Linked DNA regions of Sus scrofa. The protein of the gene in region 1 interacts with the protein of each later gene in a pairwise test. Links are inferred from orthologs where the notes say so. Each region holds a gene or a part of one and is shown in the gene's direction. Other genes may lie near its edges. The genes, in order: KXD1, TCEA2, EXOC7, LRRC45, MAP1LC3A, IFT20 and C8H4orf46.

The links.
Region 2: the proteins of KXD1 (region 1) and TCEA2 interact in binary tests that used the Homo sapiens proteins (3 or more experiments, as listed by UniProt). The two-hybrid records come from large-scale screens. The link is inferred for Sus scrofa from reciprocal best matches to the Homo sapiens genes KXD1 and TCEA2.
Region 3: the proteins of KXD1 (region 1) and EXOC7 interact in binary tests that used the Homo sapiens proteins (3 or more experiments, as listed by UniProt). The two-hybrid records come from large-scale screens. The link is inferred for Sus scrofa from reciprocal best matches to the Homo sapiens genes KXD1 and EXOC7.
Region 4: the proteins of KXD1 (region 1) and LRRC45 interact in binary tests that used the Homo sapiens proteins (3 or more experiments, as listed by UniProt). The two-hybrid records come from large-scale screens. The link is inferred for Sus scrofa from reciprocal best matches to the Homo sapiens genes KXD1 and LRRC45.
Region 5: the proteins of KXD1 (region 1) and MAP1LC3A interact in binary tests that used the Homo sapiens proteins (3 or more experiments, as listed by UniProt). The two-hybrid records come from large-scale screens. The link is inferred for Sus scrofa from reciprocal best matches to the Homo sapiens genes KXD1 and MAP1LC3A.
Region 6: the proteins of KXD1 (region 1) and IFT20 interact in binary tests that used the Homo sapiens proteins (3 or more experiments, as listed by UniProt). The two-hybrid records come from large-scale screens. The link is inferred for Sus scrofa from reciprocal best matches to the Homo sapiens genes KXD1 and IFT20.
Region 7: the proteins of KXD1 (region 1) and C8H4orf46 interact in binary tests that used the Homo sapiens proteins (3 or more experiments, as listed by UniProt). The two-hybrid records come from large-scale screens. The link is inferred for Sus scrofa from reciprocal best matches to the Homo sapiens genes KXD1 and C4orf46.

What each region holds. Positions count from the first base shown.
Region 1 is NC_010444.4:59,248,094-59,252,280, reverse strand, and holds the start of KXD1 (kxDL motif-containing protein 1), read left to right. Parts: upstream 1-1,387; 5' UTR 1,388-1,482; coding exon 1,483-1,485; exon of another isoform or gene 1,486-1,588; intron 1,589-4,187.
Region 2 is NC_010459.5:62,884,339-62,886,814, forward strand, and holds part of TCEA2 (transcription elongation factor A protein 2), read left to right. Parts: intron 1-141; coding exon 142-247; intron 248-1,117; coding exon 1,118-1,205; intron 1,206-2,459; coding exon 2,460-2,476. UniProt on the Homo sapiens protein: Necessary for efficient RNA polymerase II transcription elongation past template-encoded arresting sites.
Region 3 is NC_010454.4:5,341,495-5,344,994, forward strand, and holds part of EXOC7 (exocyst complex component 7), read left to right. Parts: intron 1-1,193; coding exon 1,194-1,361; intron 1,362-3,500. UniProt on the Homo sapiens protein: Component of the exocyst complex involved in the docking of exocytic vesicles with fusion sites on the plasma membrane.
Region 4 is NC_010454.4:988,712-992,707, reverse strand, and holds the start of LRRC45 (leucine-rich repeat-containing protein 45), read left to right. Parts: upstream 1-1,196; 5' UTR 1,197-1,628; coding exon 1,629-1,848; intron 1,849-2,297; coding exon 2,298-2,359; intron 2,360-2,712; coding exon 2,713-2,783; exon of another isoform or gene 2,784-2,819; coding exon of another isoform or gene 2,820-2,893; intron 2,894-3,006; coding exon 3,007-3,185; intron 3,186-3,405; coding exon 3,406-3,546; intron 3,547-3,996. Other genes in the region: CENPX (centromere protein X), read right to left, coding at 958-987. UniProt on the Homo sapiens protein: Component of the proteinaceous fiber-like linker between two centrioles, required for centrosome cohesion.
Region 5 is NC_010459.5:37,956,399-37,960,005, forward strand, and holds MAP1LC3A (microtubule-associated proteins 1A/1B light chain 3A), read left to right. Parts: upstream 1-1,431; 5' UTR 1,432-1,583; coding exon 1,584-1,623; intron 1,624-1,946; coding exon 1,947-2,002; intron 2,003-2,088; coding exon 2,089-2,195; intron 2,196-2,502; coding exon 2,503-2,665; 3' UTR 2,666-3,107; downstream 3,108-3,607. UniProt on the Homo sapiens protein: Ubiquitin-like modifier involved in formation of autophagosomal vacuoles (autophagosomes). While LC3s are involved in elongation of the phagophore membrane, the GABARAP/GATE-16 subfamily is essential for a later stage in autophagosome maturation.
Region 6 is NC_010454.4:44,611,385-44,613,683, reverse strand, and holds part of IFT20 (intraflagellar transport protein 20 homolog), read left to right. Parts: 5' UTR 1-64; intron 65-468; 5' UTR 469-628; coding exon 629-704; intron 705-863; coding exon 864-992; intron 993-1,985; coding exon 1,986-2,071; intron 2,072-2,299. UniProt on the Homo sapiens protein: Part of intraflagellar transport (IFT) particles involved in ciliary process assembly. May play a role in the trafficking of ciliary membrane proteins from the Golgi complex to the cilium.
Region 7 is NC_010450.4:47,605,750-47,609,886, reverse strand, and holds the start of C8H4orf46 (renal cancer differentiation gene 1 protein), read left to right. Parts: upstream 1-1,337; 5' UTR 1,338-1,556; coding exon 1,557-1,739; intron 1,740-2,971; coding exon 2,972-3,127; 3' UTR 3,128-4,137. Other genes in the region: ETFDH (electron transfer flavoprotein-ubiquinone oxidoreductase, mitochondrial), read right to left, coding at 914-947.

The sequences.
Region 1 (4,187 bases):
GAGGGTTCGATCCCTGGCCTTGCTCAGTGGGTTAAGGATCCGGCATTGCCGTGAGCTGTGGTATGAGTTGTAGATGCGGCTTGGATCTGACGTTGCTGTGGCTGTGGTGTAGGCTGGCAGCTGTAGCTCTGATTGGACCCCTAGCCTGGGAACTTCCATATGCTGCAAGTGCAGCCCTAAAAAGCAAAAACAAACAAACAAAAAACAACCCAAAAAAACAAAAAACAAAACAAACTATTGGTTTCAAGTTCCCACTGTGGCACCACAGCATCAGCAGCGTTTTGGGAGCTCTGGGATGCAGGTTTGATAAGGATCCAGTGTTGCCAAAGCTATGGCTTGGGTTGCAACTGCAGATTGGATTTGATCCCTGTCTTGGGAACTCTGTATGCTGCAGGGCAGCTGAAAAAAAACCCACAAAACAAAAACTATTGATTCAACTATAAGAATATATAGAAATCCTGGAATCCTGGCCTTATAAATAAGAATCCTAGTCATCATTAACTATTCAATGAATGAAGGAAGGAGAGCATGGCAGTGATAATACAGTTTACCCCTAGTTTATTGAGGGCTTGCATTGGACCAAGTCTTTTGTTGCAAGAGATTTACCTGCATGATCTCATAAAGTTAAGCCACTTGCACCAGGCCCCCCCAACCAGGATTTGATAGAACTGGAATTTGAACTCAGATATGTCCAATTCCAGGGCTCTCAAAGAGACTTCCGTGTGCCCAGGAGCATGTGTATTTCTCCCAAGCTCTTGGTAACCTTAAGAGGCAGATCCTGTGTTCACCTGGACTCACAGTTAAACTGAGGACCAGAAAAATAAGATATATAATATGTAACACATATCACAAGGCCTCAATAACTAAGGATAATTAATCCGGAGTTCCCGTTGCGGCTCAGTGGTTAAAGAATCCGACTACGAACCACAAGGTTGCAGGTTTGATCCCCGGCATGGCTCAGTGGGTTAAGGATCCGGTGTAGCCATGAGCTGTGGTGTAGGTTGCAGATGTGGCTCGGATCCTGCTTGGCTGTGGCTGTGGCATAGGCTGGTAGCGGCAGCTCTGATTTGACCCCTAGCCTGGCCAGAAAAAGGTCACCAAAAGCAGAGCAGGGATTTTTGAAGCGGAATGAGTCTGATTCCCAGCCTGGAAAACATAACACGTGGGTCTGGGTCGACCACAGGCCACTAGAGCACTATATGCCCTTGTGGGAATGCCCGCCACTCTCGGATCTCTGTCTTACCACTTACAAAACTGGGCGTGTTTTCAGCCTCTCTCTCCACCCCTCCCCCCGCCCTTCCGGGCTGCCAAGGAGCAGGGTTTTGGAAACTACGCAGGCGCGCGAGGGACTGCTTGATTGGCTATTTGTTATGAACCCCCTCCCCGCAAACAGTAACTGCGTCTAAGTCCCACCTCTTCCTGCCGCGCCTCCACGCACGCAAGTCGGCCCCGGGCACGTTGCGGACACGCGCGCTAGCACTCATGGTACGTGATGACGTTGAGGCGGCACTGGCGCCATCCCGGAAGCGCGAGCAAGGCCGCCAGATGTGCAGGTGCTGCTGCCACCGACGCCGGGGCCGAGTTCAGGGTGGGGCTGGGGACGCAGGGGCTTCTGGGCAGCTGGGCCGGGCGGGAGCAGTCCCCGGGCTGTCGCGGGGTGGGGCGCGCCGCTGGCAACATCTGGACACCCTGCGCACAGGCCTCAGTTTCCCCGGCTGCGCAGTGGACGCGCGGACGGCGCCGTGGGCTGGATCCGGATCCGGGGCGCCAGAGTTGGGGGCGTCTATGTTGAAGCTGTGCTATATCACCCAGAACCGGGCTTTTCCCTGCTTAGGCCTCAGTTTCCCGGCTTCACAGGGGCGGGGCTTGAGGGGCTTTGTGAGCCCCGCCGCACTGGGGGGTTTTGCAGAGCTGGGGTAGCCCAGTTAAATTCTGTTAAATGATCTAGGTGGAGTCGCGGCGTCTCTCTGCCTAGGTGTGTGACCTTGGGCAACTGAGCCCACCTCTCTAGCCTTGGTTGCCTTCGGAAATGATAGTGTCAGTCTATCTGCCTCTCAGGGGTGATTAGGGATTAAATGAAGTGTTTTACAAGTGTTCGTTTGTATTCTTGGAAGCACTGGGGAGACCCTCATTAGAATAGTGATTCTTGGCCCAGTCCTAGGTTTTCTTAACACTCCCCTCGGAGAAACTGCCTGCTACCAGTCCACTGTCTCATCACTATTGGTTTCATTACCCAAAGATAGTGTTGTGAGATTCTGATTCTTTGTTATTCCTAGCTTCTGGATGAGAAGGACCCAGGAGGTGAGGTGACTTTCCTAAGGTCACGGAGCCTCCCTCTCTGCGTGTTTCCCCCATAAATATATTTGGAGCTGGGACTAGTGCCTATACTGGATCATTTTTCACCCTGTATATGGGTCAGACCGATACTTAGTCAGGGAAGGCTTCCCGTGAGAAGCAGCTGGTGAGGGAGTATGCATTGAATCTCTCAGCCCTCACATCTGGGAGCCAGAGACAGGAAAGAGCCTTACTTTGAAGCAGAACCATTTCCCGGGGTCCAAATGTTTTGCCCTCCAGGCCTAGTTGTGGGGTTCCTGCCACATGCCTCTGTCCTTTGAGAGCCCAAGTATCCTCTTTATATATGATCTTTGGAAATGTGGAGGCTGTGAGCGTCCATACCTGGCACACAGTCAGAACAAAATAAACATGGTGATTATTGGGGGCGGGGGAGGGGGGTTTCATCAGGTGTGGCAGTTCATCTCCAGAAGGCACATAAGGCTGCAGACCCTAGCTAGATTCAGAGCACAAATAGATATGTACTCTCAGCCTCTATAGCTTTGGGGAAAAAAAAAAAAAAAAAAAGTGTTAGTTGCTAACATTTGTAAATGAGGCGATTTCATAAGGGGAAAAATATATGTTTCAGTTTGTTTGTTTTGGCCATGCTGCAGCATCCGAAAGCTCCCAGGCCAGGGATCAAGCTGCTGCAATGACAACACAGATCCTTAACCTACTGTGCCACTAAAGAACTCAGCTTTTTTTCTGGAAAAAATCAGAAGTCTGGCAGGAATCAGCTGCTGTAAGAAGCAGTTGTTCTGTCACAGGTGGATACTGAACATCTGTCCAGAGTTTGTGGATCCTGTGGACCGTGGCATTTAAGTTGTGACTCAAGTTCACTGGCTATGTGACAGTGGCTCAGTTCTTCAGTGTCTGAGACTCAGTTTTGTCATATAGAAATAAGGATGATAACAATTGCCAGTGTTTGAAGTTGGTGTCCTGTTTAGCATACAGTAGGTAACAAAGAGGGGAGTAGAGTTAGCAGGCTCTGAAAGCCCTTCCTGATCCTGTGTGTGAATATAATCAATTGCATGTGGGCCTTTCTGTGGGCCATTAAATGTGCAGTCCCTAGAGCCAAGCTGTGTCAGGATTCTGGGTTTTTCCTGAACCCCCTCAGGAAGGTCAGTCCTGAAGCTGTGGCCCCCTCCTGCCCTGGCATGGTCCAGGAAGTCTTCACCTCCTGGGATGGCATCTGTGTGTCAAGGAAGCTGGAGGCTACCAAGCCATCTGAGTTGCTGGGACCCACAGCCTGGCTGCCAGTGCCCCAAGTTCTTGCCTTTAACTTCTTTTTTTTTTTTTTTTTTAAATTTTATTTTATTTTATTGTTATTATTATTTTTTTGTCTTTTTGCCATTTTTAGGGCCACTCCCGTGGCATATGGAGGTTCCCAGGCTAGGGGTGTAATCGGAGCTGTAGCCACTGGCCTACACCAGAGCCATAGCAACTCAGAATCCGAGCCATGTCTGCAACCTACACCACAGCTCACGGCAACGCCGGATTGTTAACCCACTGAGCAAGGCCAGGGATCGAACCCGCAACCTCATGGTTCCTAGTCGGATTCGTTAACCACTGAGCCATGAAGGGAACTCCCGTTCTTGCCTTTAACTTCTAATCCAGCTTCAGAGCTGGGTTTGAAAGGGTCCGTTTGCCTCCACCAAACTAATTTTCCCAATCCTTGGTGTGAACCAGGTTCTGGGCCAGGCTCTGGAGACAGAGCAGTGAGCACAAACAACATGCCTCTGCTCTGTTGCAGCTGACGTTGCTATAGGGGTGACAGGCAAATGGGTCGACTGATAACTTCAGAAAGAGATGTGCCAGTGCAGCAGTTAAAACAAGGTGAAGTGATAAGAGTGACT
Region 2 (2,476 bases), on another chromosome or scaffold:
CAGTGAGATGGGGGGGGCGTTCGAGCGTTGACACTGTCCCTCCCAGTCATCCTCAGGCGGAGTCCCCAGCCTTGCCCTGCGGGAGGTGCTGGGGTCACTGGGGAAGGTCTGCCCGCCCCCAGCCGGCCGCTTGCCTTGCAGTCCACCCGCGTCGGCATGTCTGTCAACGCCCTGCGGAAGCAAAGCTCGGACGAGGAGGTTGTCACACTGGCCAAGTCTCTCATCAAGTCCTGGAAGAAGCTCCTGGGTGCGGGTCGGGCAGCCTGGGCTGAGTGTTGGGGCGAGGGGCACCCCAAGGTCAGCCTTGGGCAGGGCGCTGGCTATGCTGTCCCTGAGCCGTGGCCCCCAGGAGTTGTGGGGGGCAGGCCTGGTCCAGGAGGCTCCGGCTCAGGGCTGGGAGGGGAGGGTTCCACGCGGAGCAAGGGGACCGTTGAGGGAGGAGGCAGTGCTGAGCCCTCAGGGGGACCCAGCGGAGCTGGGGGATGCCACGCGGGGGAATGTCCCCACCTGGGGGAGAGGGTAGTGGGCGAGGAGGAAGAAGGTCCACAGCCACTCAGAGGGAACCAGGGGTGGCCCCTTTCTGGGGACAGTGGGGTGCCCTGGGGTGCAGAAGTGCCCACCCTGGACCCTGAGCTTCCCCTCCCTTCCGAGCCCCTCCCAGCTTGGTCCGAAGCCCCGGGAAACAGCTGTGCGTCCCGGGCTTTCCTCCAGTCCTGTCGGGCTGCGTGCTGGACCAGCACGTTTCCCCTGGTGGCGTGCGGGACGCTTCTGGTCCAAGTTCACACGCCTCTGTGGAGGCCACCTCTCGGGGGGGTCTCTGTGCTCAGGGATCACTTGGCGAGCGGCAGCCCCTCTGCCAGGATGGGGCCCCCACATGCGCCTCACAGGTGGCCTGCTGCGTAGGAGCGTGTGTGGGAAAGTGGTTTGGGAGCCTTTTGGGGACTGTTCTTGGCTTGGGGAGAGCGGGCCCCCAGGAAGCTGGGGCTGGAGGTAGGGTCCTCGGGCTGGGGCCAGGGGTCTGGCCGGGGCTGTGCCTGGGTGGTGGTCTGCTCCCCTCCCTGGCCCTCCGGGTCTGCCTTCTCCTGGCCAGCCCTCCCTTCTTTCCTGGCACCTGCAGATGCTTCAGACGCCAAAGCCAGGGAGCGGAGGAGGGGCGGGCCTCTGCCCACGTCTTCCAAGGAGGCCTCTGAGGCCAAGGATCCCAGGTAGCACATCTGGAAGGCGGGTGCACCCCTCCCCCACGTCCCCACTTTCTTGGCAGACGAGGTTGCTAGGTTTCAGGTGTCCTGAGTTCCAGGCGGGGGGCTGAGGCCGTAAGGACACAGCCCTTTCAGCTCCTTGGAGGGCCCCTCCCCAGGGGGCTGTGCCCAGCCCGGTCAGCCTCTTTTTTTTTTTTCTTTTTGCTATTTCTTGGGCCGCTCCCACAGCATATGGAGGTTCCCAGGCTAGGGGTCGAATCGGAGTTGTAGCCACCGGCCTACGCCAGAGCCACAGCAACGCAGGATCCGAGCCGTGTCTGCAAACTACACCACAGCTCATGGCAACGCCAGATCGTTAACCCACTGAGCAAGGGCAGGGACCGAACCCGCAACCTCATGGTTCCTAGTCGGATTCGTTAACCACTGCACCACTCCCCGATCAGCCTCTTGCTGGACACTTTCCCTCCAGGGACTTCTCTGGGTCTTTTCAGCCGTGAATGTCTGAGGGAGGCTGTGTCTGCCCAGGTACAGGGAGCTGACCCACACCCTCAGTGGCCTGTGGGCACCCACTAATCACATCCCCTGGCTCCAGGCCCCGGTCTGGGCTCCGGTGCCTGTGGGCCGGCTCCGCCCTCCCGGGGCTGCCCCTGGCCGCTGGGCCCACTGCCCCAGGGACGGTGGTCGTGGGGATGGACTGTGCTGAGAGGCTGCCTTGCCCTTGACCCAACTGGGCAGCAGGGGCCAGGGGCCAGGAAGAGCTGAGCTTTGGATTCACAGTGTGGCTCATCCGCCCACCTGCACGTGTTGTTTTTCTCCAGGAAGCCTCCTGTTTCCACTGACTTCCGTGGAGGTCACGGGGTCACGAGATGCAGGGGCGTGAGGGGAGGGCTGGGTGGACGCCCAGACAGCCCGCGGGGGGTGCTGGGTGGGGCTGCCTGCGGAGTGGTACCTGCTTTGGGGCGGCCTCCAGCCCCGTCTGCTTCTGCCTGACCCGGCGGTTTGCACTGGGCAGCGTGGCCCCGTGTTCCAGGCCCCTGGGGGTGGGGACCCCCGCTGGGAGCACTCCTGGCTCTGGGAGCCGCGCTGCCTCTGGCCGCCTGAGCCGACGCCAGGGACGTGCTGGGCCAGACCGCAGAGGGGCAGGGCCGTCCGGCTGGAGCAGGTGGGGCCTGGGGGTCTCGTGGCTGTGACGTTGTCTTTTCTGGGGGCCGGTGTCTCACGGGGGGTGCTGGCGGCCCGAGTGGGCCTGTCTCTCTGCAGCCGCAAGAGGCCCGAGC
Region 3 (3,500 bases), on another chromosome or scaffold:
GGTTCCTTGGGATACACTTGTTGGGACCTGCTGAAATGTACCACAGCATCCATACTTCTCCAGGCTCGTTTGCATTTTTGGATTGTCCAGTTTTCTTTAGGGCTGCGCCCATGGCATATGGAGGTTCCCAGGCTAGGGGTTGAATCAGAGCTACAGTTGCCAGTCTACCCCACAGCTGCAGCAACGCAGGATCCAAGCCACATCTGTGACCTACACCACAGCTGATGGCAATGCCGGATCCTTAACCCTCTGAGCGAGGCCAGGGGGGATCGAACCTGCAACCTCATGGTTCCTAGTCAGATTCCTTTCCTCTTTGCCATGATGGGAACCCCCATTGCTCTTCTTATTTAGGGAGTTCTTTGGGGGTATTTTCTCAAAGGTACAGTTATCAGGTAGAACTGTCTGAACAGATCTGTAACCTTCTTGCCGTCTCGAGTTCCTCTCCAGGTAGATGGGACCAGTCTGCTGACCTGTTGACAACCCTGCAGTTATTTCTTCTTCATTAATTTTGCTTATCTTAGCTATTTAACAGGGCTGCCACGGTCCTCTAGTTTTTTTAAATTTGCACTTCGTTCATGGCTAAAGAGATGGTGTGTTTTTTCACTCAGTGACATTCGTTGTCTCTTTACCACCTATAAATTTACCAAGTCGAGGAGTGCCCGCTGTGGCACAGTAGATTAAGGATCCAGTGGTGGCGCAGGTTCAATCCCCGGCAAGCGCAGTGGTTAAGGACCCAGCGTTGCCACAGCGATGGCATAGTTCGAAGCTGCAACTCAGATTTGATCCCTGGCCCAGAAACCTCCATGTGCCGTGGGTGTGGCTGAACAAGATAAAAAAGAATACATTACCAAGTTGAATCCGGCTGCTAATTTTCTATTTTCTTAAAATCTCAAAAACTTACCTGCCCAGCAGAAATTGACAGAACGTTGTAGATCAACTATAATAAAAAAAAATTCTAAAAGAAAAAAAACCCCTCACCTTCAGAACTTACAACGAATTATTGGTTCTGCGGGGAAATGTCTTCCCTTTTAAGGCTTTTCCAGATGCAGGACGAGGCCACGAGGCTGCTGGGAAAGGGTCTGCAAGTGGAAAGAGCGGGCCTGCTGCTGCCCTCTGGAGCTGCCTCTGGCGGGGGAGGGGGGCCCCGGGGTCTGGCGGAGGCAGGGACCCAGCTGTCACCCGTCTGTCCGCAGATTTCATGAACGTCTACTACCAGATCCGCTCGAGCCAGCTGGACCGCTCCATCAAAGGCCTGAAGGAGCACTTCCGGAAGAGCAGTTCTTCCTCTGGGGTTCCCTACTCCCCCGCCATCCCCAACAAGAGGAAAGACACACCCACCAAGAAGCCAGTCAAGCGGCCAGGTGAGCCCCCGCCCTGGCCCACTTCAGAACCCGCCAGAAGGCTGTGGGACCTGGGTGGCCTTTGGCCACCCACCCCGGGGTGGGCGGCGCCAGGGCCCTAGGGTTTGTCCTCACGGTAGCCCCTGACTGTAGGGGCACAGGACAGCAGGCAGGTGTCCGCCCCCCAAAAGAGCTCCTCTCTCCACCCAGCCGAGTCTAGGGCTTATATAAGTGTCCTTGGAGTGGAGGGTCACAGCACGGAGACGTGGGGTGACAGGGGTGCCGGAGCAGAGCCACTTATTGGGCCCCCGTCCTCTCCCTCTAGTGTCCTGTTGGGAGGCCAGGCATGCTGCTGCCACCCAGCTGTGAGATTGGGGCAGGGTGTCAGGGGTGCAGGGCGAGGGGCAGGCACTGCAGCCTTCACCTCCCAGAAAGCCAGAGTGGCCTGAAGTGATGAGTAGCTAAGAAGTGGAGAGCAGAGGAGTTCCCTGGTGGCTCAAAGGGTTAAGGATCTGGTGTTGTCACTGCTGTGGCTCTGGTTACTATTGTGGCGCAGGTTCGATCCCTGGCCCGGGAATTTCCACATGCCTCAGCCATGGCAAAAAAAAAGTAGATACAGGAACGTTTATGCTTTTACAGTCAGTCCAGAAAGAAAACCATCCCAGGCCATCCTCTCCAAAGACCCTCACCTGGCTTTTGGGCTCCGCAAGAAGTTGGTGCCTTGCGGTGGGAGAGTTGAGGGAGGGGCATTGAGGTGGAAGAGGCCTGGGCTGTGGCTTGTTGGTTGGCCTGGGCGAGCAGCTCACTGTCTGTCCTTCTTCCCATCATCCTGTCCCCTGTAGTCTCTGCTCCAGGTGACAGTGTCCCTGTGTGTCAGCTTCGGCTTGACAAGCCTGGCTGTTCTGGCTGCTGAGAGGGGTTGCCTTCGAGAGGCCGGGGTGGGGGTTCCAGCGGAGGGGCTGCAGGCACCAGGAGAGAGAGCCAGCGAGCCCTGGGGCTGCTCCCACTTTCGCCCACCCCGTCCAGCTGCTCTGGGACCCGTCCCTTGGGACAGTGTTTTCCCGAGCTGCCCGGCCTCTCAGAGAGCAGGAGATCTGCTCACAGTGGCCCGAGCATCTGCTCCTCCCCAGCGCTTTGTTCAGGGCTTAGAGAAATGGCAGAGGCTGCCCGCAGAGGCACAGCGTCGAGGTCCAGAGGCCGGGCAGCCCAGCAGAAAGTGCACAGCCTTCCCCTCCAGCTTGGCTCTCCTGGCTGCTCCCTCGGAGAACCTGCCACGGTCAGGGACTCTACAAGCCAGCCAGGGCAGCCGCAGCTGCCTGCTCGAGGCCTGGTTCGTGCCTGTGCCTCGTGCATTGGGCTGCGGCTGTTTCCACGAGGCTGCTGGGCCCCGGCCGGGCTGTGCTTTCTTCCCCTCTGTCTCCTCTGGGACCCCTGGAGGCCTGGAACCCAGGCCACATGCAGGATGCTGCTGGCCATGCAGGGACCAGAGATCTGATCTTTGGGCTCCCAGTGGACCTCATCCATCCCAGCCCTGTAGCCCTAGAAGGAAAACGCCGGCTGTGAGCGTCCCTCTGGTTTCTTTGGGGTTTCAAGGGTTGTCCGGAACCTTGGGGCTCAGGTCCGATGTTGGGAGCTAGAGGCAGGCCCCCAGCTCTTGAGGAGAGGGGCAGGGTGGCCTCGGGGGTAACGAGACACCAGCCTCAGCGACATCCGTGGTAACTGGGCGCCTGATGGCTTTAGCGGCTGCCAGATCAGCGTCCCCGACCCACATACATGCCAGTGTGCTGGCGAGGCTCCTGATGGCCCGGCGGGCCCATCTGGTCCTAGTTGGTTGTGGGGCGGGAATCTGAATCGCTCATTAGCAGGACTACTTGCTGAAGGAGGAGAACACAGCGAGACAGGTGCCGGGCTGGAGCCGCACACTGGCTCATGAGTAACTAATTGTGGTTGGCACAAACAGCCGCTCCAGACGCCGTCCCCTCTCCCTCAGTCCTTTGGGGAGCTGCCAGGACCCCAGCAGGCTCCCCGTGTTCAGAGCTGCGGTGGAGGACCTGGGCGTCTCCAGGGAAAAGGGACCAGATCCCACTCAGGGCTGCCTTCCCGGCCCCGGCCCATCTGGTTATCAGGGCAGCTGCGCATGTCTGTTTTCAGTGCTGTTTT
Region 4 (3,996 bases), on another chromosome or scaffold:
GAGAGCTTGCAGCAGCCCGTACCTGCGGCAGCGTCGCAGCGGCCTCGCGCACCCTCCCAGAGTGAGCGCGCGAGCTTGGCGCCACCTGCTGGTCCCACCAAGAAAGCCCAGAAGGCCCTGCTGCCCCACTAGATCCCAGACTCCAGGGAAGAGCTGAAAGAGCCAGGCTGCCACCTGGGGAGCAGCTGCTGCACCGGCTTACCCTGACAACTAAAGGAGCCAGCACCAGCTGGGAGAGGGGGGTCCCCAAGCTTGCAAAGGGCAGCATGAGATCTGGGATTTGGTCAGCCTCTGTCTCTCTGTGTGGAGGACCACAACCCCCCACCCCGGCCCCGTGCCCCTCGCCTGGGACAGGCCTGCTCGTGGGTAATGACGGCAACCCCAGCTCTAGCCCGAGGCCTCAGGGCTAGGACTCCAGAGCTGCCCAGGATCCCAAGAAGGAGGCCCAGCCAGTGCTCCCCTCTGCAGCTATTACAGTGCAGGGAGGGCCCAGCCTCAGTGATTTCCCCTTTGACGCATTAACTCCTTCTAGGCCTGGGCAAAGTGGCCATCCAGGGTGAAGAGGGAGAACTCCCCCACTAGGGGCTGGCTGGACAAGGAAGTCCTCACCCAGGTACACAAAGGGCTGCTATCAAAAGCTCAGTGCTTCCTACCCTTAGCGCAGAGCAACAAAGCGAAACCCAGAGACCACTCACAGCCCGAAGGGTTTGGGAACCGAGCCTGCCGGCCTAGCGACCCACCCACTCGGGCCACGGAGGACTAAGTACGCGCGGGATGGGGGTCGTGGCCGATTCTGGGAATGGGCCGACCCTAGAAGGTACCGGCCGGCAGGACGGGGACTGGTTTAGGGCCCACACGTGGCTCACGCAGGGGGCCGGGCCCCGAGCTCGCTCCCAGTGCCTTCCCCGAGCCCCCTAGCCCGTCCCGCTCCGCCCCGCCTCGCAGTCCCTCGCTCACTTTCCGGAAGCCCGTGCCGCTTTCCTCCATGACCGCCGCCAAGTTGTGCGTTCTCAGAAGCCCGGCCCCCGCGCCTCCAGCCAATCGACCCGTAGCGCGCCTTCTGAAGCCTCGCCCCTGCGCCCCCCAGCCAATGGGGTCGCCGCGCGCGCCCACTCCCTCGCCCTAATTGGTCCTAAGCGAGCGCACCGCCCCCGCAAAGCGTCCTGGGAGTCGTAGTTTCCGCCAGGCCTTCCCGGCGCGCCCCGCTCTTCCTGGATACTGAGGGGCACCGCGGCCGCCAGCCCCCGCGGCAAGCGGGCGGGGTTCCTAGGCGCGAGGCCTGGGGCGGGGGCGGGAGCGGCCCCTCCGCTAGACGCCCCGCCCCCGAGAGCATCCTCCTCCCGGATCCTGGGCTTCGGCGACCCCGAGGATCACCCGCCCCCGCCCTCTCGGGGCCTCCCGCCAGTTGAAGCAACTGTTTGCTCCTCATTCCGCGGTTGCTGAGGGCGTAGGGTCTGTGTGCGCCCCCCTGCGCTGTCGGGGGCTCTCCGTAGACCCCAGGGGGAGGCTTACAGCCAGCAAGGACTGGGGCAGGGGAGCAGGAGCCAGCAGCCCACTTCCCCAGCCTCCCCGCCTCCGGGTGAGGCCTGTCTGGGAGCTTTGCCGGAAGCCCCGCCAGCCCTTCCCTCATGGAGGAGCTCCAGCGCGCCTACAGCCGGCTGTGCAAGGAGAGCGGGGCCGAGCCCCAGGAGGCCGTCCTGCAGCGGCTGCACGGGCTGCTGCGGGGCCGGCTGGACCTGGCCACACAGAGCTTGACGCTGGACACCTGCAGGGCTCTGGGCAAGCTGCTGCAGAAGGAGGCGCTGCTGACGGAACTGGTCCTGAGTGACTGCATGCTGAGCGACGAGGGTGGGCACCGACGGACCGCAGTGGCCACAGCAGCCCTTGCAGCTTCGAAGGGCGGGCAGGGGTCGGCGTCCCTGGGCTTGTTTGCCCTGCTGCTCAGCACCCCCAGGCCTTGGTGCTCGGTGGCCCGCCTGTCCTCTTCTTTGGGAGTCTCCCCTTCACTGTAGTCAAAGCAAGCAGCAGCATTCACTCGGGAAACTGGGGAGCATCTCTCTGTAGCGAAAAAACCTTAGCGCCCCCAGCCAGCTGGCTTAGGAGAGTCCGCATGGGGGGGGGTCTGCAGCCGGACTCCGCACCTGCCGCGTGTCAAACCTGACACAGGAGTGGGGCGACTGACTCATTTTTGGCATGAACCCTGGCTGGTCGGGGACCCTCGTCCCTTCCCTCCGTCTGGGGAGCTGCCCCTGATGGAGCCACCAGGAGCGGAGAGTGACTGTCCTGGTCCCTTACAGGAGCCACGATGTTGCTGCAGGGACTGTGTGTCAACACCGTGGTGCGGTTTCTGGATCTAAAGGTGGGTGGATCTGCGCTTAGGGCCCTGCCCCCCGGCCAGGGAGAGTAGCGAAGCTGCAGTTGTCCTGGGGCCCGGGGATCCCGATGGCGGCGAGAGATGGTGTCTGTACGCACTGACTCTCAGTCTCCTGCACGTGTGCCAGTGTTCTGAGGGCAGGAATGTGAGTTCCAGAGCATTCCACAGCAAACCAAGAGCCTGCATCAGGGGGCCACTGTGGTCAGGGAAAGCAGAATCTGAAAGGATTCCGCGCTTCCCGCCCATAGCTCGCTGTGACCTCACCCACTTCCCAATGAGGGTGTTCGGAGCCCGGCCCAGGACTCCAGGAATGACGGGCTGGCCTCTTCCTGTTCTAGGGCAATAACCTTCGCGCTGCAGGAGCTGAGGCTCTGGGAAAACTCCTCCGACAGAACAAGTCCATCCAGAGGTGAGGTGGCGGTCCCAGCCTTTGCTCCTTCTCAGCATGGCTCTGGGTTGGCTCCAGAGGACGCGGTGCACTCCTGCGCGCCAGTCTTCCTGGGCTGCGCATGGACGGGGGTGAGTGTTTCTCGAGGCTCCAGCCTCTTTACCACAGCCTCTCGAGCCTGGTGCAGCCCATGGAAGCTGGAGGCCCCATGAGGCCACACACCCCCCGTGCACCCTTCCTGCAGCCTCACCCTGGAGTGGAACAGCCTGGGCCCGTGGGAAGACGCCTTCGCCACTTTCTGCGGCGCCCTGGCAGCCAACAGTACCCTGCGGCAGCTGGACCTCCGCAACAACCAGATCAGCCACAAGGGCGCCGAGGAGCTGGCCCTGGCCCTGAGGAGCAACGCCAGCCTCCAGCAGCTGGGTGAGGCCGCCTGGCTCCGGGCCCTGGTCCTCAGACCAGGCTGGGCGGTCTTGGTCGGGGCAAGGGCTTCATCTCTGGCCCCTCAGCCCTGGCTGCTTCCTTTGGTCTGTCCCAGAGCGGAGGGTGTGGGGAACGAGGGCCCCCGACACAGGCAGTGCTGCCCCGCAAAGGAAGTGTCTCAGGCTGCGCCAGCCCCCAGCCCCACCCTGTGCGACCCCAGGTTTCTTTCCAGACCTGCGCTGGAATCACATCGGCCTCCTGGGGGGCCGGGCCCTGGCGAACTGTCTCCCCAGCAACAGAACCCTGTGGAGGCTGGAGCTGGCTGGGAACAGCATCCCCAGCGACGTCCTCAGAGCCGTGGGTACGGGTGGCTTGCACTCCGGAGCAGGGCACAGCGCTGGCCCCTGTGACGGAGGCCTGGCTACCAGGGGAGGAGCTGCTCTGGGCAGCACGAGGAGACACTTCATGGTGGGAGCCGACTGCCCGGTGCTGCTCCTCACCCCCTCGTGCCACAGTCCCCTTCCATCACGACCCCACCTCTGGCCCCAGGGCGGCTGAGCGCCCTGCCACTCCCCTCAGCTCCCTGCCCTGCCTGCTGTGGCGCAAGCTCTTGTAATTGCTCTGCCCCCAGAGCTGCTCTTGGCTGATCGTTTTGTAAACGCTGCCTTGGCTTTTAAGAGCCCACACGCACCTCTTAAAAGCCAAGCAGCGGCCTCTGACTTCTGGGGCAGGGACTAAACACCTACCTCTGGTGGCAGCGGAACAGCCTGCCCCTCCTCCCCCTGCGGGCCTCCCACCCCCACCCCCTTGG
Region 5 (3,607 bases), on another chromosome or scaffold:
ATATACTTTTTCCCATCTTTTTACTTTTGATTTCCTTAGGTTTTAAATGTCCTCTTGTAAACAGCAGAGCTGCATTTTATTTTTCTTGGCCAATTTGTTCATCTGTTTTAACAGGTGAATGTAAAACATTTAATACCTCTGGTTTTGTACCATTTATATACCATTCTTTTCACTTTGCTTTCCCTTTTCTCTTTTTCTATCTATTACATTTTTTTAATACCCTTTACTAAACTTTTCTCTTTTATGCATTGACATATACTTTCTATTCTTTGAGTGATCCCTCTGAAGTGTTTGAAATACATACTTGACTATACAAAGCCAGGTAATTATCAGTTAGCTTTATCCTCTTCCTCTCCAATAAATCAAGCTTCTTAAAACACTTGACCTCTGACCCCCCTCCCCAGTCCTACATGTGCCATGCTCCTGTGCTATGCTCCAGACTCATCAGCACCATTCTTGTTCCACAGCAGGTGTTTGTTTAGATCCACTTCCCATTTTACCAGCTTAGTAGCTTACCATTTTTCTAATTTCTTCTCCTTAGAGTTGGGCAAATTCACTACAGAGTGTCTAGATGAGTTTTTATTTATTCTGTTCTGGATGTTATATGAGGATCCTGGTTTTTAATCAATTTTGGAAGTTTTTCTCCAGAGCTTCACGGTCTTTTCTCTCCTTCTGGAATGCTAATTAGACCTGTGAATTCTCACTTTGCCATTTCTGTCACTTATTTTATACCATGTAAACATGGTTTGTTTTCCAGGTAATTGCTTCTGCTCTCTCATCCACTTCAGTGATTTTCTTTTTTGCTATATCTAACAGGGCTTGCTTGCCTCGTCCTTCTGAGACCTGAATTTCAGTAGCTGTTTTTCAATTCTAGAAATTCCTTCTAAAACCTCTAGGTTCCTTTTCAGTGTCTTGCTGTCTTCATGTTTTAATGCTCACCCAACCCCCCACAATGACCACTACCTTTTTCTTTCTCTAACCATATGCTCCAGGATGAAGACTTCTGGTTCACTGTTGTCATCCCCAATGCCTCATACGGTCCCTGGAACAGAAAAGACTCTGAGCGAGGGCTGTCTGACGCCTTGGTTACAGTGGAAACAGAAGGATGCTATGCCGCAGCCTGGCCAGCTCTCCCCACCGCCAGACCAGCCAGCCTGCTCCCTGGCCTTGCTGGCGTCCATTCTCCCCTCACCCTGGGCCTGGGGGAGCCCACCTCGCCTGCCCCTGCACAGGCCGTGACGTCACAGGACTGTGACGCTCACTGGGCGCCTCCCCTCCTTCGCAGTGTGGGGTTGGGGGTGGGGGCGGGAATGCAGGCTCCCTGCGCCGTGATGTCACGGGCCCGGGCGGGCAGATTTTGCGTCGGCCCAATGGGAACGGCGCGCTGGCCTCCCCTTTAAGGAATGTTATGACCTGACGTCACCCGGGCGAGTTACCTCCCCGAGCCGCCGCCGCTGGGCTCAGCGCGAGCCCCAGAGCCCTTGAGCGGGAGACGCGGAGCCCCCGGAGCCCCCAAACCACAGCCACCTCCCCGCCTCGCGCGACCGGGAGCCCCGGCCTGCGCGCTCCGCCGGGCCTGTGCGATGCCCTCAGACCGGCCTTTCAAGCAGCGGCGGAGCTTCGGTGAGGCCCGACTGGCGATCTGCGAGCGCTAGGGGTGGGGGCGTGGGGGGGTCGGGGGTGTTGGCAGATCTACTTGTCTGCCGCAGGTGACGTCAGCTTCATGACGTCAAGCTCGGGTTGGACCCCTGGGCTGGGAAGCAGGCTAGGGCCTGGGCCCGGGCCTCCGCCTCCCATCCCAGTGCTGTGCCCCGGCCCTGGCCCTACCTCCACCCGCCTGGGGCTTGGCGGGGGGCGGGGCGGGGTCGGGGGCCGCCCCTCGGGGACTAGTGGGGCGGAACCCAAGGAGAACCTCGGCTGGCCTCATCCCCGACTGCTGTCTGCAGCCGACCGCCGTAAGGAGGTGCAGCAGATCCGCGACCAGCACCCTAGCAAGATCCCGGTGAGTCCTACCGCATACCCCGCCCCCGTCCCCTGGCCCCAGGTCCAGCCTCCCGCTCACGCGTCCCCGCCCCACCTCACTCCCAGGTGATCATCGAGCGCTACAAGGGTGAGAAGCAGCTGCCAGTCCTGGACAAGACCAAGTTCCTGGTCCCAGACCATGTCAACATGAGCGAGTTGGTCAAGATCATCCGGTGCGCTGGCAGCAGCTGTCAGGAGGGGGACTTGGGTCCTGCTGGGATCAGGCATTGGTCTGGGTCCTTCTGAGAAGGAAGGGGTGGGGGTGGGACATGGGACGGGGTGCCGAAGCCCTCTTCTGGGGAGGTTGGGAACGGTCAAGGTCAGGCCTGGGATCAGTATCTTGTCAGAGGTGAGAGCTTCTAGAAGGGGCTGGGATGGGTGTGAGGGGGAGAATCAAAGTCAGGGTGGGTAGGGGGTGAGGGCTACACTCACCCAGCGGCCAGGCCCCTCACGTTTGGCTTGCCCTCCCGCCCACCTCAGGCGCCGCCTGCAGCTGAACCCCACGCAGGCCTTCTTCCTGCTGGTGAACCAGCACAGCATGGTGAGCGTGTCCACGCCCATCGCGGACATCTATGAGCAGGAGAAGGATGAGGATGGCTTCCTCTACATGGTCTACGCCTCCCAGGAAACCTTCGGCTTCTGAGCCAGCAGTAGGGGGTGTTGGCTGGGAGTCGGGGGCCCTGTCAGGCTCTGCCCAGGGAGCTCCTGGCACTGGAACTAAGCTGTCTCTGCCCCTGCCCCTGGTGGGTTGGACAGGGATGCTGCCACCCAGCCAGAGGGCACCTATCACCCCTACTCTGCCCCTGGATGGATTCTGGCCCAGTCATATTAGGGTTGCCCCTCCGGGTGCTGGCTGGGAGGGGGAAGAGTGGGAAGCAGCCCCCAGCACCCCTGCCCTGTGTGGTTTGTCTTTTTTTTAGACCCCTGCCTGTCTGCCCACCTGTCCCTCCCCAACCTGAGGCGCTGCCCATGCCTGGATCTGCCCACCCCTGAAGGACTGGGTCCTGGCTCACCTGGTCTTGACATGGTGTATGGCTCTGTGGTCATTGTCCCTTTGCAGAATAAAGATTGCTCAGGCCTGCCTGGCCCTTTGCCTCCAGCTGCTTGGGGAGTGGGGAGGGCTGTGGGTGGGGCTGCCCCCACCGTTGTCCTCTCACTGGTGCACAGACTTGTGTGCTGTGGACTCAGGGCTCATTCAGGAAACCCACGCCTGTGTATAGTGCATCGTGGGGGTACTAGAGGCCAAGCCCACCTCTTCCACGAGGGCAGCATGGTTCCAGGTAGACGTTTTCATAACAAAAGAAACATTTATTAAGTAGCCACAGCCTAACAAACCCTGCTCACCTGCTTCTTCCCCTTTCCTGCTTGGGAGGGGCTCCTGGTGTGCAGAGCCACACAGTGGGGGCCAGGTGGAGACTCCTGGCTCCGCCCCACAGGCCTTGCTGCCAGCCTTGGCTCCTCACTGGTGCCAGATATTCATGACCCTGGACTCAAACCTCATCTGCCCCAGGGCTTGCCTGCTGGCAACGCTGGCTAGAGGGCTTGGCCCAGCTTCTGGGCCTTTCGCCCCCTGAGGTCCGTGCAG
Region 6 (2,299 bases), on another chromosome or scaffold:
GCTTCATGCTCTTGTCCAGGCTGTTTTCTCTGCTCGGAATGCCTTTCCTTGACCTCCGTACTTGGTATGTTCTTGTGGATACGTCATTCCTTTTTGTGTTTTCTGCTGGAAAAAGACTGACTCAACTTTAGGTCCCAGTTCAGGCCATTGTACCTGTGGCATACATTGGGGGCAAAATTCTTACACCTGGCTTCTTATTTTTTTTTACCCCTAATTTTTAATTCACTCAGATTTTCTCTTTTACTTGCTTTTCGTATTGTTCCAGTACTGCATTCGAAAAGCTCTTTTATGTCCTTTTGGGTTCATAACTGGGGATACATGAATATACTTATGGCTCACAACTCAGTTCATGTATCACTTCCTTACCCCAAGTTAGCTGTTCTGGTCTCCTCCAGCACTTTAGTGATGTACCTGTAAACGCACTTAACATGGTATGATTTTTCAGTGCATATGTCTGTCTTCCTCCAGCTAAACTCTGTGCTCCTCCAGGGCGGGCACCATGTTGCACTCATCTTTGCCCCCAGCATCTAGCAGTGTTGGCATGTAGTAGGCACTCAAGAAATGTGTGTTCAGTGAACGATGCCTGTGACAAGCAACCGGACTTTATTCTTTCCTGACCCTTGCTCCTATGACATACCTCCTCCTGGCTGCTACTGTCACCCCTTCAGAGCAGAACTTCTCTAGGGAAGCCGGAAGGGAAACAGGTGAGACTCAGAGAGGCGGAGGCAGAGGGAAGGGGAAGCCTTTGGAGCCTCTGGGTTTCTCACTCTGGTGTCCGGGGCCAGGACTGGGGGCTGGGCTAGAAGCAGGCATTTCCTTGGGTGGCTGGGAAGTGATCGGGATTGGGGCTGGTTTCTTTACAGCTATGGCCAAGGATATCCTGGGTGAAGCAGGGCTGCACTTTGATGAACTGAACAAGCTGCGGGTGTTGGACCCAGAGGTTACCCAGCAGACCATAGAGCTCAAAGAAGAGTGCAAGGACTTTGTCGACAGTGAGTGTCGTGTGGGGAGACACGGTGCCTTTAGCTTGGAGCTCTTCCAACTGTGCCCCACCCCCACCCCTGACTGCAGCTCTTGGCCCTGGCCTTTATGAATCCCATATTCTACCCACCTTGGCTGCCTGCCCTCTTCTGCTCTCCTGCAATCTCAGAGCACCAATCAAAATAAACACTGCCATGGGGAGAGGAGGGTGTTTGTTTAGATCTGCCAGCTCAAGAACCTTAAAACTTCAGAACTGTGTCTTAGGGGTGGGAAATGGAGTTATGATTTGATTTCTTGGGAGAAATAGTGTTCTTGGTGGCAGACTTGCCATTATTTGGAGTAAAAGTTGATTAACTGAGTTTCTAAAGGCAGTTCAACAGACTCAATGAAGTCTTTTTTTTTTTTAGCTTGAGATAGCCAGAATGGCTCCTGTCCCAGCAGCCAGGCACATGCAGTAGCAGTGAATATGGAGCAGAGCTAGGCAGGGATTTCTGAGCCTCCCAGGGGCTCCATAGGCTATACAGAGAGCTTGACTGGTGAAGGTAGCTTGGGTTCTCTGGCCAGTCTTCTCATAGCTTCATGTTGTTCTACCCTCTGGGCCTTAGTTTATTCTTAAATAACATGGGGTTCCACCACACCCAGGGACTTTGAAAAAAGGCAAATGGGTGATTATGTCCTTAAATGCTTTGAGTTTTTTAATAGTTCTTGTCACAGAAGGAAAGCCCCCACCCGACTGTTAACTGAGATCTGGTGTCTGATCTGTGGTTTGTCTAGAGGCAGCGTTCATGTCCTGAGCCAGTGGGGACTCAAGATCCAAGTATGTCCCAGTCCAGCTCTGGGAACCTAGCCACCCTTCTCTAGGTTCAGACCAAGGGTGGCAGATATCAAACTTTTTTTGACAAATTAGAAGGGACAATTAGCCCTGCCTTCCTACACCAGTGGAATGCTGAGGGAGAGTGGTGATGCTGAGAAGATAAAACACTTTTTTGTTCTTTCTCTCAAAGAAATCGGCCAGTTTCAGAAAATAGTTGGTGGTTTAATTGAGCTTGTTGATCAACTTGCAAAAGAAGCAGAAAATGAGAAGATGAAGGTAAGATCAGCATGTTTTGTCTAATCTTGTCCTGGAACCCTGGCTCACTAGCCTCTCATCCTTCTGCACGCTTGACTTTTGGGGGAGGCGTTCTATAATTAAAACAAGATTTTAAATAACAATTCCTATACAAACATCACATTATGTTGTACACCTGAAACTAATATGTTATTTATACCTCAAAAAAATTCTTGATGAGAGTAGCATATACACACTTCTGTATAAATG
Region 7 (4,137 bases), on another chromosome or scaffold:
ACTTTTTGAACTTTAAACCTTTTGTTTTTAAATAAACCACCCCCTCCAAAAAAATCCCCCAAACCACCCAACTGCATCCTACTTTTTTTTTTTTTTTTAAAAAAAAAGAGGAGGTAATGAGGTATTTTACCAAGTCATCAGGATGGTTCTAGGGGCAAACAGAACACCATAAGCCCCTAGAGTTAATTTTAGACAACGTAGAAAAATTCCTGGCTCCAGATAGTCTGATGACTCAGGCAGCATACACATGTTAATGATGATGTGCCACATTAGACTTCGAATTCTTTTTTTTTTTTCTTTTTTGTCTATTTTAGGGCTGCACCCCGGCATATGGAGGTTCCCAGGTTAGGGGTCTAATCAGAGCTGAAGCCGCCGGCCTACGCCAGAGCCACAGCAACGCCAGATCCCAGCCGCGTCTGTGACCTACACCACAGCTCACGGCAACGCCGGATCCTTAACCCACTGAGCAAGACCAGGGATCGAACCCACAACCTCATGGTTCCTAGTCGGATTCGTTAACCACTGAGCCACGAAGGGAACTCCTAGACTTCGAATTCTTAAAATGGGGTAGGATGACTGCAAATACACAAGTAAGGTGAGGACCAAGGAAAAAAAATCTGTGCAAATGTTAATTTACTCATTTGCAACAAGGCAACAGACATTACCTGAGCTTGGGATAAGAGTCTGCACCAGGACTTGGAGAGATTCCGCTCAGGAGCCGTGTTGACAAGTTCACTGCATTCATGACCTATGTCCTAGTTGTCAACTCTTCCAATTGAGACAAGCCCAGGGGAGGAACCCAGCGGCGACCCTGCGCCCTTTGCTCTGAACTAGTTCCACCCCCCAGCGGTGGTCCCGCGCGCCCCTCGTAGACCCTCGACTTTGCTCCCCGCGCCCGCAGACCCCTCCTCACCTGGGCTGGCCAGCTTGGCCAGCGGCACCATCATGCTCTCGGCAGCCGGGACCCCGGCGTACAGCGAGGGAGGAGGCCCGGCTGGGGCTCGCCCGGGCACGGGACCACTAGGCCGCGGGGGGCGCCATCCCCGCCGGGACAACTGAAGTCTCAGGCGGAGTCAGCCTCCCTACTCAGCCGGCCACTCTGGCTTCACCGTACTGCCGCCTCTTTCTTGCTGTGCGCCTGCGCCACGCGCGATATGACTGCCCGTAGGACTTCTGGGTCACAGACCAAGACGGAGAGGGTAGGGAACCCTTCCACCCGGGGCAAGCAGAGGACACCAGCGAAGACTACAAATCCCAGGGTGCAACGCGCTTGGCGCCAAGAAGCGGAGGCGGGGCGGTGCGCGGAACTCTAGGAGTTGTAGTCTTCGGCTCAACAGTCCAGGTTGCCCGACTGGGGGTTTGCGCAGGAGTGAAGAGCCGCCCAAGGCGAATTAACTGGTTTCTGATTGGCTGTCCGGAGAAAATGACTGGGCTTCGCGGTCCACCGCCGAGAGACTAGAGGAGGCGGGGTCGCTGGACTTTGGGCGCGAGCGGTTGAAAGACAGTTGGTGTCGGTTCGGCTGTCAAAGTCCGGTCCCGCCGCCCAGCCCGGCTCCATGGAGGACCCTGAGGAGCTGCTGGTTTCTTCGCCTCCCCCGCCGCCTCCCTCCTCTCCCTCTTCAAACTCATCTTCAGCATCTTCCCCAGGCGTCCCGGGGAGTTTGGGATGGCCGGTTCCAAGCAGGAGCAGCGGCCGGACAGTGGACCCCCTGGAGGAGGTGGAGCTGCAGATCGGAGACGTGGGTGTGGCCTGCGGGGCCGGGAGGGGCCGGAGGGACGGGGTCCGCGCCCAGCTAGGGGGGCTGGTGAGGAAGGGTGGGGGTCCGACGCCGCCCAAGGCCCCTTCCCCCATGTGGTGTACCAGTTGAGGCGTTGGGAATTGGGGTGTCCCTCCACCCGCCCCGCCCCGCCCGGTTTTCTTTGTGCCTGGCCATCTGGTTTCCAACACGCGCTGTAACCCGAAACCACACAGATCTCATTCGCCCCCACCTTCGCCTTTGCTGTCCTTGGGTGCTGAGGGTCAGGCTGTGATTTCTTACCCGGGGACTTAAGGACTGCTGTCCTAGTTGGCCACCTGCCCAGAGTCAGCTGACAGATATTATCTGTCCCACCGTCCTGTGCGCTAGATCCAATTAGGACGGGTTAGTCACCACCCCATGGTGCAGATTCCTTTCACTAACGGTTCAAAGACCTCTCCCTCTGAGCACTTGGCATGCCTAGTCTGGATGGTTTCTGTTGAATCTCCAATTTCCAGGCGCCCAGCTACTGGAGCGCATGAGCACACACACACTCTCTGTCTCTGTCTCTCTGTCTCTGTCTCTCGTTCCCCCGCCTCCGCCCACCGCTCCTTCCAAGTGACCCTGTAGGATGGAGTGCTGATGTGTTATCCAGGAACAGTGCTATTTCATGTAGTGGGCGAAGAAAGCATTTGATCAAGGAGTTTTCCACCAAGGGATGATTGTCTACTGCACCTGTTTTGATTTTGTTGATGTTATTTGTAAGCTGAGAGCATCTCTTCTTTGGACTATACATTTTCATAGTCTACAGCGTTCATGGGTAAAAATAGTGGAGCCATGCCCTTGTTACCCATGTATTAAGCGTTATTTATGGAGTCTTTCAGCTCCTTCTGATACTTTGTGTCAAGGGATCCAAGTCTCCTGTTGAGCTAAATCAGACTAGTGATTTGTAAATAAAAAAGTATCGACTGGTCATTTCTCATGCATAATGGATATCTTTCTAGCACATCTTACTTCCTCAAAGCTTACTTCATATTAACGAATTTCTTTGGTTCCCTGAAAGAGCCAGTATTTTAGTTCTAAGATTTTTTTTTTAACTTTTAAAGAAGATAACTTTAAATTTGAGGCATCAGATTTGAGGTTCTGTTATTTTCAGACTGGTTTGTAAAATGAGGTGAAAATTAAAAAAAAAACAACTTATATTGTTTGACTTTTTTTTTTTTTTTAAATTTCAGGCAGCATTTTCCTTAACCAAACTTCTCGAAGCCACATCTGCAGTATCAGCTCAAGTGGAAGAGCTTGCCTTCAAATGTACAGAAAATGCACGTTTCCTTAAAACATGGCGGGACCTCTTGAGAGAAGGCTATGATTCCTTGAAGGCTGACAACTGACTTGCCATGTAATAGTCCATGTGTTCTCACGATATTTGCAGATGTACCATATGGATAGGATAATCCAGCAGTTCTGTGAAATGAAAATGAAATTTTGCTTGGTTTTCTTCATTTTGTGAAAATAGAATGTTATTTTTGATGCTGACTAGTATTTATCTTTAAATACTTAATGTCTGCTAAACTTTCACACAATCTTTTATGAAAGTTAATTCAATCAGTAGATAATATAATGCCACAGTGTTACCAGTCACAAACTAGATAGACCATTTGTTTGATTTGCAAGAAGATACCAAGCATGGCAGAGTTTGAAGTTGAGCCTCATTTTTTTGGAACAAAGGAGATGACTTTAAGGTTTATCACTGTTTGACTCAGCTCTATTTGGCTAATTTCCGTAGAACCAGTTATTGTGTCTTATTTAATTCTGTATTTTCAGCACCTAGAACATTGTTATACAATAATCACTAAATGTTCAGTGACAATACAGTTAAAAGCAGCGTTTTCTCCCTGTTTTTAGCATGAAGATTATAAATTTTTCTTGAAGAAATATTTGAGTCAGAACCTCATTAACTTGGAGAAAAACATTAACATTATTGCTCTCTTTTTTAACAGGGATTTGAACTTTAACTAGTAACATCTTTTTAAAATACAAATTTTTTTGCCCTTCTCTGATGGATTTTCAAAAAAGAAAATGAAACTTGACTTGAAAGAATGCACATTTTTTCCCCTATTTATTTCTAAGGTTAACTGATTTTACAGAAATTTCTTGTATACAATGTTGTTATATGTTTGGTTGCTCTTTTAAAAGTGCCTTATCAGAATTATGGCTGTGTATTATTACTTTTGGAGCTTTACAAGTAATAATCCTAAATTCTTTCTTTTTTTTTTTTTTTGTCTTGCCATTTCTTGGGCCGCTCCCGCGGCATATGGAGGTTCCCAAACTAGGGGTCGAATCGGAGCTGTAGCCACCGGCCTACACCACAGCCACAGCAACACCAGATCCGAGCCGCGTC